Linked DNA regions of Caenorhabditis elegans. The gene in region 3 interacts genetically with the main gene of each other region. Each region holds a gene or a part of one and is shown on either strand. Other genes may lie near its edges.

Evidence for each region.
Region 1: of unc-54 (region 3) and ruvb-2, changing one suppresses a phenotype caused by changing the other (phenotypic suppression), as found in Caenorhabditis elegans (one study listed by BioGRID).
Region 2: of unc-54 (region 3) and ruvb-1, changing one suppresses a phenotype caused by changing the other (phenotypic suppression), as found in Caenorhabditis elegans (one study listed by BioGRID).

The regions. Positions count from the first base shown.
Region 1 is NC_003282.8:6,917,276-6,921,029, forward strand, and holds the start of ruvb-2 (RuvB-like 2), read right to left. Parts: upstream 2,132-3,754; 5' UTR 2,124-2,131; coding exon 2,082-2,123; intron 1,989-2,081; coding exon 1,851-1,988; intron 1,798-1,850; coding exon 1,669-1,797; intron 1,618-1,668; coding exon 1,341-1,617; intron 1,295-1,340; coding exon 904-1,294; intron 853-903; coding exon 700-852; intron 223-699; coding exon 6-222; 3' UTR 1-5. Other genes in the region: T22D1.18 (Transposase), read right to left, coding at 2,682-2,888. UniProt on the Caenorhabditis elegans protein: Possesses single-stranded DNA-stimulated ATPase and ATP-dependent DNA helicase (5' to 3') activity suggesting a role in nuclear processes such as recombination and transcription.
Region 2 is NC_003283.11:9,978,640-9,982,393, forward strand, and holds ruvb-1 (RuvB-like 1), read right to left. Parts: upstream 2,164-3,754; 5' UTR 2,058-2,163; coding exon 1,992-2,057; intron 1,945-1,991; coding exon 1,849-1,944; intron 1,772-1,848; coding exon 1,060-1,771; intron 1,003-1,059; coding exon 545-1,002; intron 496-544; coding exon 397-495; 3' UTR 152-396; downstream 1-151. Other genes in the region: tofu-1 (Schlafen-like protein 1), read left to right, coding at 2,762-2,797, 2,845-3,049, 3,102-3,426, 3,481-3,754. UniProt on the Caenorhabditis elegans protein: Possesses single-stranded DNA-stimulated ATPase and ATP dependent DNA helicase (3' to 5') activity suggesting a role in nuclear processes such as recombination and transcription.
Region 3 is NC_003279.8:14,861,548-14,865,301, forward strand, and holds the start of unc-54 (Myosin-4), read right to left. Parts: upstream 1,936-3,754; 5' UTR 1,904-1,935; coding exon 1,841-1,903; intron 1,279-1,840; coding exon 1,150-1,278; intron 1,102-1,149; coding exon 961-1,101; intron 480-960; coding exon 23-479; intron 1-22. UniProt on the Caenorhabditis elegans protein: Required for muscle contraction.

The DNA.
Region 1 (3,754 bases), on a different chromosome or scaffold from region 3:
AGATTTTATTGCAGGAATCCAGCAGATTCCTCGGTCAAAATCTTTTCCGATCTTTTAGTATCGAAGAACAAACGATAAGCTGATCCAATGTGATCAGTGGTGACAATTTCAGCTTTACTGCGAATACGAATAACTTCAGAAGCAGCAATGAGATGAATACAGTAACGAAGAGATGTGGCTTCTTGTAATTTCACTAGAAGATCAAGGGCAGTTGGTTGCAATCTGAAAATTTGATTTGAAAACTATCGACTTTTAATATTGTTGGGTCGAACAAATAAACCCCGTTTCAAAATAAACGTGGAATCGCGCTCCACGGCCAAATAAAAATGCTCCATCCCCGAAACATTGGTCTCGTTAGGTATTTGACGGCAAAACCGGAAATTGAAACGTTTTTGATAAGTTTCTCGGATTTCACCAATTTTTTAAAGCATTTTTCGTCATTTTTTTCAAGTTTCCAGTTTTTCTTAGTGATTTTTATGCAGACTGATAAAATAAAATTCAGTCAAATAAAAAAAACCTCATTCAGCTCAAAAAACCACTAAAACATCGGAAAAATGCCTAAATTTTGGCGAAATCTGCGAAGCTGATCGAAAAACGTTTGAATTCACGGTTTTGTCGCCATTTTCCTAACAAGACCCATGGATCGGGGACAGAGCGTTTCCAATTGCCGGTGGAGCGTTTTTAAAAGATATATCTCACTTGACTCCTTCTTCATCACATCGAATTGACAAAATCTTTGCTGTATCTTCTTTAGTATATGGGATCGCGTTGATGATGAGCATACGATCAAGGAAATCAGATGGGATGCCATGAGCAGATTCGACATCTGTTCCACGCACTTTTTCGATCAATCTAAAGATATTTAATTAAAAACTCAATATTAAAAAAAATATATTTGCAAACCTGTTGGTGGCCATGATAATCAAGGGACTGAGTTCGCCTTCGATGGCTCTGTTGAGGAACGAAAAGCATTCGATATCAAGCATATGAGCTTCATCAATAAACAATACTCCTGGTACAAACTTTGCTTTTCCCTCTTCTCTCCACTCCAAAACCTTCTTATTAATCTGATCTCTCACTTCTGCTTTGATCTCTCCAGTGTCTCCTGAGAAGAGTGCCACGTATCCTTGGGTACGAGAATTGATGACGTCAATGTCGTGAAGACAAACTGTGTGAACAGTTTCACGTCTCTTTTGAATTTCTCCATCTGGACACTGAACAAGCTTCACTTTTGGACCCATTGCGTCATAGTCGTGGGAACGGTTGAATGAACGGCCAAGTCGAGTAACACGTCCTAAAAACGATAATTTTTCAGTTTTTTGATTAAATAAAATTCTCACCAGAAGCCTTATCAACTTGAATAACATCACCGGGCATCACTTTCTCTTTCAGACACGCATCAACCATTTTTGATCCAAGATCGTAGATAGTTTCCATATCAGTTGTACGCATTGTGAGTTTTCCGACCTTTGGTCCCATTCCATTTGCTGACCGATCAACTTCCAACGAGATCACTTCTCCTTCCAAAACTTCAGTTTCTTCTTTAATCTGAATTCCCAGAGCACGTCGAAAAGCTTGAGTAAGTGCCTCTGTTTTGTTGATTTCGTTTGAATAAATCTGAAATTTAAAAAAGATATTTATTAATCTGAAAAAAAACATTAGACTAACCTCTGAAGCGACAATACTGACAAATGGGGTGTCCTCACCAAGTTCTTTGGAAATTGCGATGGCGATAGCAGTCTTTCCAGCTCCAGGCTCTCCTGTCACAAGAAGAGCACGTCCGGCAATTTTTCCCTCCTAAAAAATATAGTAGCAATTTTAGTTTTGAATTTTTGTGCAGAAAACATTACCTGAATCATTTTGACAATAAGTCCTGCAGCTTGTCTAGCGGCAACCTGGCCGACCATTCCTCCAGACACATATTCAGCTTCTAAACGATCATTAAGACCTAGACCAGTAATATGTGAATGTACGGAGGTGCGTTCAACCTGGAAAATATACTGTAATGCAATTGAACCTAGATTTTATTAGAAAATATGCTAAATTGAACACAAAAATTGAATATATGAGCAACAAAATACCTTTACAATATCTTTCACATTAATTCCGTCCAATGTCGCCATTTTGATGTCTGAAATTGAAATATAAAGCTGAAAATTTGCTGAAATTCGGAAAAAGTGAACCTAAAATTCGAAAATCGCGCGCACGAAACGCGCCAACCACAGAAAAAGCGTCAATCAAGGGGCACGAGAAGTGCGTCAACTCGCACTTTCTGCGTCTCACTCTCTAATTATATAGCAACGTGATCTGGAGTTGGATAAATTAATTTTAAAAAAATTTATAAATTAAGCATTTAAAGTTATTTTGGTCGGTCAAGTTTTTGAAAGTGACTGGATATTAAAGAAAATTAATTTAATCTTTATGAGCCTTGTAAAATGTTTTCAAATTTGATCAATCGAGCATAAATAAATGTATTTATTTTATCAATTAAAAAAATCAGAACTTATAAAATCTTATGTATAAAACCAATTATAAAAAAGATAAATATAGAAAAAAAGCGCAATTGAATACTTAGATGCTCTTTTTTTACCAGAATGTTCAAGTTCGATTGCCGGGATCATTTCTGAAGAAATTAATTAAAATGCCAAAAGAAATCAATCAAAACCTTTTTTCCCAATAATTCAAAGATAAAATTTGCTCAATGTGAATAAGGAATAGCATGCTGTAATTGCCACAGTGATAACAAGAGCCCAATCAATAAATCTTCTTGAATTCGAATATTTGCTATAGATCACAATCTCATCATTCGGATCATCATTCTTACAAAGAAGTGGTACATCAACCAGTGAATACTCTAAAGATTTATGAATAGGTACAATGTTAGCCATTTGGAAGAGAAATGAGGGCGACGATGAGGCTGTATGCGGGGTTTTCAAAGCATATGCTTAGAAGCGAAGATTGCTATCAAGCCTTTGCCTTGTCTTCTCGCTTACACGTGGCAAGTCTTTTTTCTGGCTAGGAAATACGATTTTAGAGAATTAAATCCGAGGCGGTGGAACGTTTTGGTAGAAATCCTGCATATCCTGAATTCAAACTTTCGGAAAGTGCTGTAGCAGTCGATTCCATGATTCTATCGTAACCTACTTATAAGTTTTCATTTTCAGAAACTAATTTTCAAAAACTATCACAGAAATTTAACAGATACGCTGTACATTCGAAAAGAGCTCTATATCCCACATATTCTCTATTAGTGCGGCACCTCAACCGCTCTATTTTAATAGCGTATATGTAACTCGCACGCTTTTGAAGATATCGAAAAATGAAAAACATAGAAAAAGAAAAAGATTTAACAAAGATGTTCTTAGTTGAAATTTTTGGCTTAAATCCGAGATATAAGCTGTCAAAGTTGAGCAATTGGGGGTGCCGAACTAATAGAGAATATACGGTATCAAAAATATTAAGAAGCAAATCATTTCAATTTTACTATACACATAAAAATAACCCAACAACAAAAAAATCGTTTATTTCTTCAAAGGTCAAAATGAAAATTAGTCACAAAAATTATAAACTCTCATTGCAATTCACACAAAACAACATTAGACACTGTTTAAATGTAAGTCTGTTCTTGAGAATACATAAATCAGAAACAATAATACCAGAAATAAAGAGAGCACATAATTCAAATGACGATGAAGTTGAACTTTCATCAAATAGTAAAACTTAATCGGAGTGAATTGAAGAATCAATAGGAAGA
Region 2 (3,754 bases), on a different chromosome or scaffold from region 3:
TGTCAGAATCGATAGAGAAACGGGAGAAAAAGAAGGGAAATGCCGCGGCGTCAGGGACGTGGAGAAGACGTATTACGAATTGCCGGGGTCCCTCTTTGTCGATTCTGTGCACTATGCACTCCTTCCGCTTTGGTGAACATTACGAACAATTCTTGAAACCGTTTTTTTTCTTTTTAGGAACAGTATAAAAATAGGAATCGAACAACAAATTGGGCAAAATGGGGGATCTATCGGAACGAAATAACAAGATCCTCAACATGTGGGGAAACAACTGAGGAAAGATCGAGAGGAATGAGATAAGTTGTAGAAGAAGAAAAATAATTTTAAAAAACAAGAAATGAATTGGCGAAAAATCAAAATTGGAAAACCGAGTCGTTGTGCGGATATGAATGGATATCACTTCTTATTTTTAGGTTGTCGCATCTCTTCTTCGGCCTTTTTCAACGACTCCCCACGATCCATGAACAATTTGGTACAACGGTCCACGTCCTCTACCTGAATAGCGATTTATTTAATACATGAACTACAACATTCTGCAACTTACTTCAATGACCTCTCTTCCACACGTTTGAGCACAAAGACGAGCTGGAGCAATCAATTGTAACGCATATCTCAATGATTTTTCAGCTCCAACTTTACTTAGAAGATCAAATGCTTTTTCTTCGAATTGAACATTTTCAGCTTCGGTACGATGAACGAGAATCTTCCGGATGTCTTCTTCGTTATACTTCATCGTTGGAATAATCATCAGCCGATCGAGCATTTCTGGAGGAATTCCATGTGGTGCCTTATCGCCGAGTCCACGAACTGTTGTGGTTCCACGGTTAGTTGCAAAAACCACGACGGGTGCCATTGGGGACTCGAGCGCGCGATAGAGATAGGTAAAACATTCTACGTCAAGCATATGAACCTCGTCGATGAAAAGAACACCAGGCATTAGTTCAGCCACTCCACTTTCAATGTATTCGTTGACTACTTTGTTGATTTCAGAACGAAGACGATCTAAAAGACAGAATAAAAATTGAAAGGTTCGAGTTTTAATGTTTATCAATCACTCACCAGTAACTTCAGTTTTCTTTGGAGTCATCAGCTGTGAAACAATGTTACTAACATCTCCTTGACGTCCTTGTGGACGGGCATTTGCGATATCCAGATCATGCAAAGACACGTTTTGAACAATATCTTTAGACTTTCTAACATCTCCTTTCGGCATTGGCACAAACTCGTCAGCCTCGAGGTCAAACTCAGATGCATATACATCACACCGTCCAACTCGTTTAACGATTCCTGAGTTCGCTTCAATATAGATGACATCACCAACTTCTACTCGTTGCTTCAAAATCGAGTCATAGATGCTTGGATCCAATTTCAGTTGCTTGCTTCCTTTTGCTGTTTTCAAAGAAAGGACAAGATGAGAGATGGTTTTTCCCATTCCGGAATTATCTGAAGCTTCGACGGGGCTCAACTCTGTAACTTCTCCCTCGTACACATCTTTGGTTTCCTTAACACGCAGACCAATAGCTCTTCTGAAACTTCTCATGAGCACTTCCGTTTTCTTTACTTCATTGGAAAAGACCTCGCTTGCAACAAGTGGCACAAATGGAACGCCGTCACCCAACTCCTGTGACATTGCAAGCGCGATTGCAGTTTTTCCAGTGGCGGGTGGTCCAGCAATCAATACAGCTCGTCCGGCCATACACTTCAATCGAATCATATCAACTACAATTGATGCAGCTGTTCTGGCGGGTGCTTGGCCAACGAATCCAGCAGCCTGTAGAAATAATATTTTATTTAGCATAGGCTTTATTTCATAAGTAGTTATTGAAATTGGACAATTGAAAAAGAAACCTCATAGTGAGCTTCTTGTGTTTCTGTGTCAATTCCGAGTCCCTTGACGTGACTGTGAGCCGCAATGCGTTTAATTTGCTTTGGAGTTGGTTTTACCTGAAAAATTCGATTTAAAATACTAGGTTTTTCAAAAATTAGCTCACTTCTTCGATTGGTGCAAGTCTTGAAGAAGAAGTACCAGATATTGCCTCATCGACTTCCATATCCATTATTTTACGAAAGCGTCAGCGTGAAAATAGAATGAAAAATAGAAATTTAGGGAAAGAAAATAAAATTCGAAAATGTGTGCAGCCATCTCATTTTACGCACAAATGCAGACAAACAGCAATGGAAGGAGACCCGAAGAACTCGGGGGATGTCCAACTGGGGGGATTACCAACTCGGGGGATTGGCCCCGCCCACAGAACCGTGGCTTGCATTACGCCCATTTCTGCAACTGCCGCACGGTTTTAAAACTGTATTTTTCTCAATAGAGCGAGAATTAACAAGAAAAAATAATTTTAAAACCGTGCGGCAGTTGCAGAAATGGGCGTATTGCAAGCCACGGTTCTGTGGGCGGGGCCAATCCCCCGAGTTGGTAATCCCCCCAGTTGGACATCCCCCGAGTTCTTCGGGTCTCAATGGAAGGGAAAGAGGAAAAAGAGATAATATTCTTATTTGAAGTAAATGTCAAATATAAGCCGAGAGTAACTTTTCTAAATAAAATGAATTTGCGAAAGTTGTATAATCACCAATAGAGATCCCAAGAAATTAAAAATGGCATTCCATTCGGGAACCTGTTAATGTAAAATAGCAATGTACCTTTAAAGTACGGTAGCACAACTTTGAGACAATTATCTGGAATTTGTCCCAAATCCTGCTCCCTCGACAATCCTTCGAAATCGAATATTCTGTCTCAGTTATTTTTGGAACAATGGCTGCGCTTTTTGAAGAGAATGATTCTTATTCGGTGAGTTTCTGGATTAACAAGAATAAAGTATAATTCAAGAATTTTAGGATTCCGAAAATGAAGAAGATTTTAGCGGCTTTTTGAGTGAAATCGAAGAAAATGAAAACGAGGATGAATTTGAAAACGACGATGAGTTTGAAGACGATGATGAGCTTGAAAATGTGGATGAACTTGAAGATGACGAATTATCCTCTGAAGAAGTGGACATCCCTTCCGAAAATGAAGTAATTGTCGAGCTTCACGATGGTCAAGGTGAGCAGTTTTATAGTTTTTTGCTCTTTTTCTGTAACAAAATATTTTCCAGCCGAAGTGGAGGAATCACTTCTTGATGCTCTTCTTGGAAAAGCATTGGCAGGAGATCAGATGAATTCTCGAATTGAAGGACTCTTCGAAGACTTGGACTCTTCAGTTGAACCTGATATCATCGATCGCAGCGAGTTAGAGGATGTGGACAGTGGTATTAGTGTTGGAGCTGTTAGTTCTTCCTCTGCAGAAACTCAAGCTTCTGATGCGAAATGCAAAAATAAGGATGCTTTCGACATGTCTTCACTTAAGAAGTATATGCAGTACATCACCGAAGAAGAGCATGCCGTATCAGTAGAAGATATTCCAGATTTTGCTTCCAAAAAGTAGGTCTTGAAGCTTTTCTGAATATTTTCTATTTCAACTCTTCATCCTTCCAGAAATGTGTATGGAACCAGCTTCAACGTTCGCAACGGAATCATGTCTCGTCCACCTCGTTTCGAATTTGCTCGTCACGATCAACGCTGGATCGATTCATGTGTATCCATGGCATACGAGAAAGACAAGACATTGAAAGAATTGATCACACTGGGAAAGTTGACAACAACTGTCAAGGCTGGAGCCAAAATTGAATTCAGAACCAAATTCACGGATGTTCATATTCGAAGTGCGGATGAAATTAACTTGATGGAGACACATGACATCCAACAGATA
Region 3 (3,754 bases):
TATAAATCAAAAAGTAACTCACAATGCTCGATATCGCAAGATGCGAGGCGTCCGTGCTTGTTGAAGTGGATACGGATGAACTTTCCGAAACGGGATGAGTTGTTGTTACGGACAGTCTTGGCGTTACCGAAGGCTTCAAGTACTGGATTGGTCTGGACGATTTGGTCCTCAAGGGTGACCTTCTTCTTATTTGGATCAACTTCAGCTCCACCTTCCTGTTGGGAGGCACCGACAGCGGCGAAGTAGCAAATAACCTTCTTGGTGTTCTCAGTCTTTCCGGCTCCAGATTCTCCGGTAATGAGCATAGACTGGTTCTCGTGGTCTTGGAGCATGTTACGGTAGGCTTCGTCAGAGACAGCGAACAAATGTGGTGGCATTTCTGTCTTTCTCTTTCCCATGAACATACGGGCGCAAGAGTCGGTGTAGATTGGGAGACGCTTGTATGGGTTGATGACAACGCAGAAAAGTCCGGAGTAGGTCTGAAATAGGAAACATTCTAGTTTCGATTTTTAAATACTGCAGGATTCAATCCCTTTGTTTAATTTTATGTTCAGTTGCATTCCCTTTAAGTTCTTCGAAATATAGACCCCTGTTACTTCTAACTTGTGCAATGAATCAAGCAGATCTTCTTCATCTTCTTTTCTTCAAACGTTTTTTCTTAGAAAAATATATCCTCACAATACCTTCTCTCTTCTTTGCCATCCCCAATGGCAGTATCTGATGCAAGGGAGCCTGTGGGGCTCCCGTCATCCACAGTGTAATGTAAGATGGTTCAGAGATTCAGAAGAGAGGCAGAGATAGCCTCATCCCACTCAATTGATGAGAGAATGGGATAGAGAGAAACATTTGAAAACGAGAAGAAAAGAAGATAGAGGGAAGGAGTTTCGGGATTTTATGGGAATTTAGAAGAAGAATATGAATGATTCTCAATGCTTAACTTTAAGTTTCAATGAAACTTACGTAGATGAGCATAGCAGCGTAACGGGAACGCAAGTTATGGAGGACAGAGGCGTCGTTGAGGAAAGACAAGTTGGACATGTCTTCGGTCTTCTCGAACTTTGGTGGATTCATTTCTTGAACCAACTCCTTCTTGAGGGTGACCTGAATCACACTACATTGAAAACCGTAATCATTAGCTTAAAAACGAACCTCATTTCCGCGAGCGGTGACGATGGTGACCTGGTCTCCCTTGGTGGCGGTGATTTCTCCGGCAAGGTATCCCTCTTCTGGATCTGGGATCCAGACGTTCTTCTTGGAGTCATAAGGCTTAGATTGATCCTGAAATTACAATAATGGTACAAAAGAGATCAGAATTCAGAAATATATCACTTCTAAAGAATACCAACTTGTGTTGAAAAATGGTCTAAACCGCTTCACACTTTAGACCCATGAATGGAATGGAATCAAAAAGTAAAATCAAGGTTAAGCTTGTGGTGTAGTCAAAATAAATGTGCCGTCTCAAAATACAGTACTACTGCAGCACAATGTGTCACAAAATTCCAAGTGCAATGCAAAAATTTAAGAAAGGAAGATTTCAATGATTTCAAGGGAAAGATGATCTTGAAGCTAAATCTATGAAAAATTAGAAAACAGAAATAAACATTGATTACAAGGATTACAAGGCAAGCTCAAATCTTCTACCTGAATTTAAAAAATCTATAAGTGTAAAATGGCAGACTTTAACTCAGTTGTATGTTAAAAATCTAGAATTTCAAAAATAAATGCTCAGTTTTGTTAAAATTAGATACTTATGGAGTACTATACGATTTACTCTATAGAAATGAGCATAACAATAAAGACAAATGAAAGAAAAATAAATAAATAAAAAATAAATACTCACCTCCAAAACCTGCTCTCTGGTACGGCGGAGATATTGCCATCCTGGGTCCTTCTCGTGCTCCATGATTTCTCGCTTCTTTCAAATGGTTTCTCTACCTCAAAACTAATGTGGTGCTCCCTTAGTCGAGGTTGATGATGCGAGTGATGAGTGCCTGCTTCTTCCTCGGCAGGAGGATGTTGGCACCCGCAAGCCACGCCCCTCTTTGGGGATTCTACGAGGTGTAAAGCTGTGTGCGGCAGCGGCAGCGGCGGGAGAGACGGGAACCCGGCTTCCCGGGAATACACGAAGCGAGAGACGCCTACGCGTAGTGGAGGGTGCCAGAGAAGATAGTGGAAGTCTCAAGAATTCCATTGGAGCACGAAGAAAAAACCAGGGATAGAGATAGATCGGGAGTTGGTAAGATCGGGAAAAATGAATTCAGAGAGTACGGTCGGTCAACTTTTTTTATAGGAAAGTGCAGAACAGTGATAAAAGGAATAAGATAGAATGTTTACATACAACCAGTGAAAATAGAATACCAGTTTGATTAATGGTTCTTAAACAGATCTTCAGCCTCCTCTTGATAATCTTCCACGGTTCACCACTAGATCTTCAGATTTTAAGCAAATCAATACATTTACGACCTAGTTAACTTGCCTTTGCATTACTCTTTTTACAGAGACCAGTGAAAACCGAAAATACTCACTGCAGTATTCTAAGCGGCAAAGCTCTAATATCAACCCTAAAATTGTTGATCTGAAATTGTTTCAGTGCAGTTTTCCTTTAATTTTTTTTGCAAAAAAATCAAGAAAATTGTTATAACAATTCTTTCAAAAAAAAAATCAAAAAAATTTTTAGACCAATTCTCCAAAAAAATCACAATTCTTTAAAAACCTCCCGGAGTGTTTACCTACACTTCCTGAAAAACTTTCAAAGTTTGCAAAAAAGCATTTAGAGCAATTATGCAGGTCTCTAAAGTAGTGGTTAAATGAGACAATTTCAGATCGATATTTTAGGGGTTGAGAGAAAAGTATTGCTGCTTAAAATTTTGCAGTGACATACCTTTCGTGACATAATCTAAAACACTTCAGATGAAACATGTCTCATTTTGAAGTTTGAGGGTAAAATGTAAAAATTTCCTTGTTAGAAATGCATTACAAATAAAGTCTGCAAAATTGATACTAACCTACTTTGGAGTCGAAGTAAGTTTTAAGACTATTTTTATTGATACGTAGAGGAGAGGGGGGCAAAAATATTTAATATTTGATTACGGTACTGCGATTCAATGCTACAGTAATAATTTTGATCAGATGGATTCGAGGTATATCATTGTGGCGGACAATCGATTTGGAGGCACCTGTAATACTTATCAATTCTACTCATTCGAACTTCAAGTTGCACCAATCAATTTTTCGAGCCTTGGTAACTACTATGAAGTTGTCGCGTTTGCTTTAAAAGGTCTCCTGATAATAGTATCTGTCTAAAAATTTACGAAAAGGCTCATAAATCATTCTCATGATAGTATGTATGTAACTGGATAGTCTTTCCGTTTGCTTTATCTTCTTCAAACATTTTCTTCAGATTTTTGTGCTTCTCCAGCAAATCAGCTTCTCTCCAAATCCCACAATCTCATACTTCATCCTGACGAAAACAATTCGCGGATGCTGTAAGACAACACGGGAATATCACGAAACCCCTAGAGACCCAGACAAAAGTAACAACTGATTCTTCGTCTCGCGCTCTCCTTGATTGCAACACTATCTCCAGGCGCCTAGGAGTTTGAAGGCATGTGGGAGCGCTTGGAGCATCCAGCAGCATTTTCTGGGTTCCACCGGGAGGAGACGAGGTTTTTTGATTGTAATAAGAGATACACAAAAGCCAAGGGTCAGTTGGAAGAAATTTCCGGGATGATAAGATAAATTACACGTTCTTTGA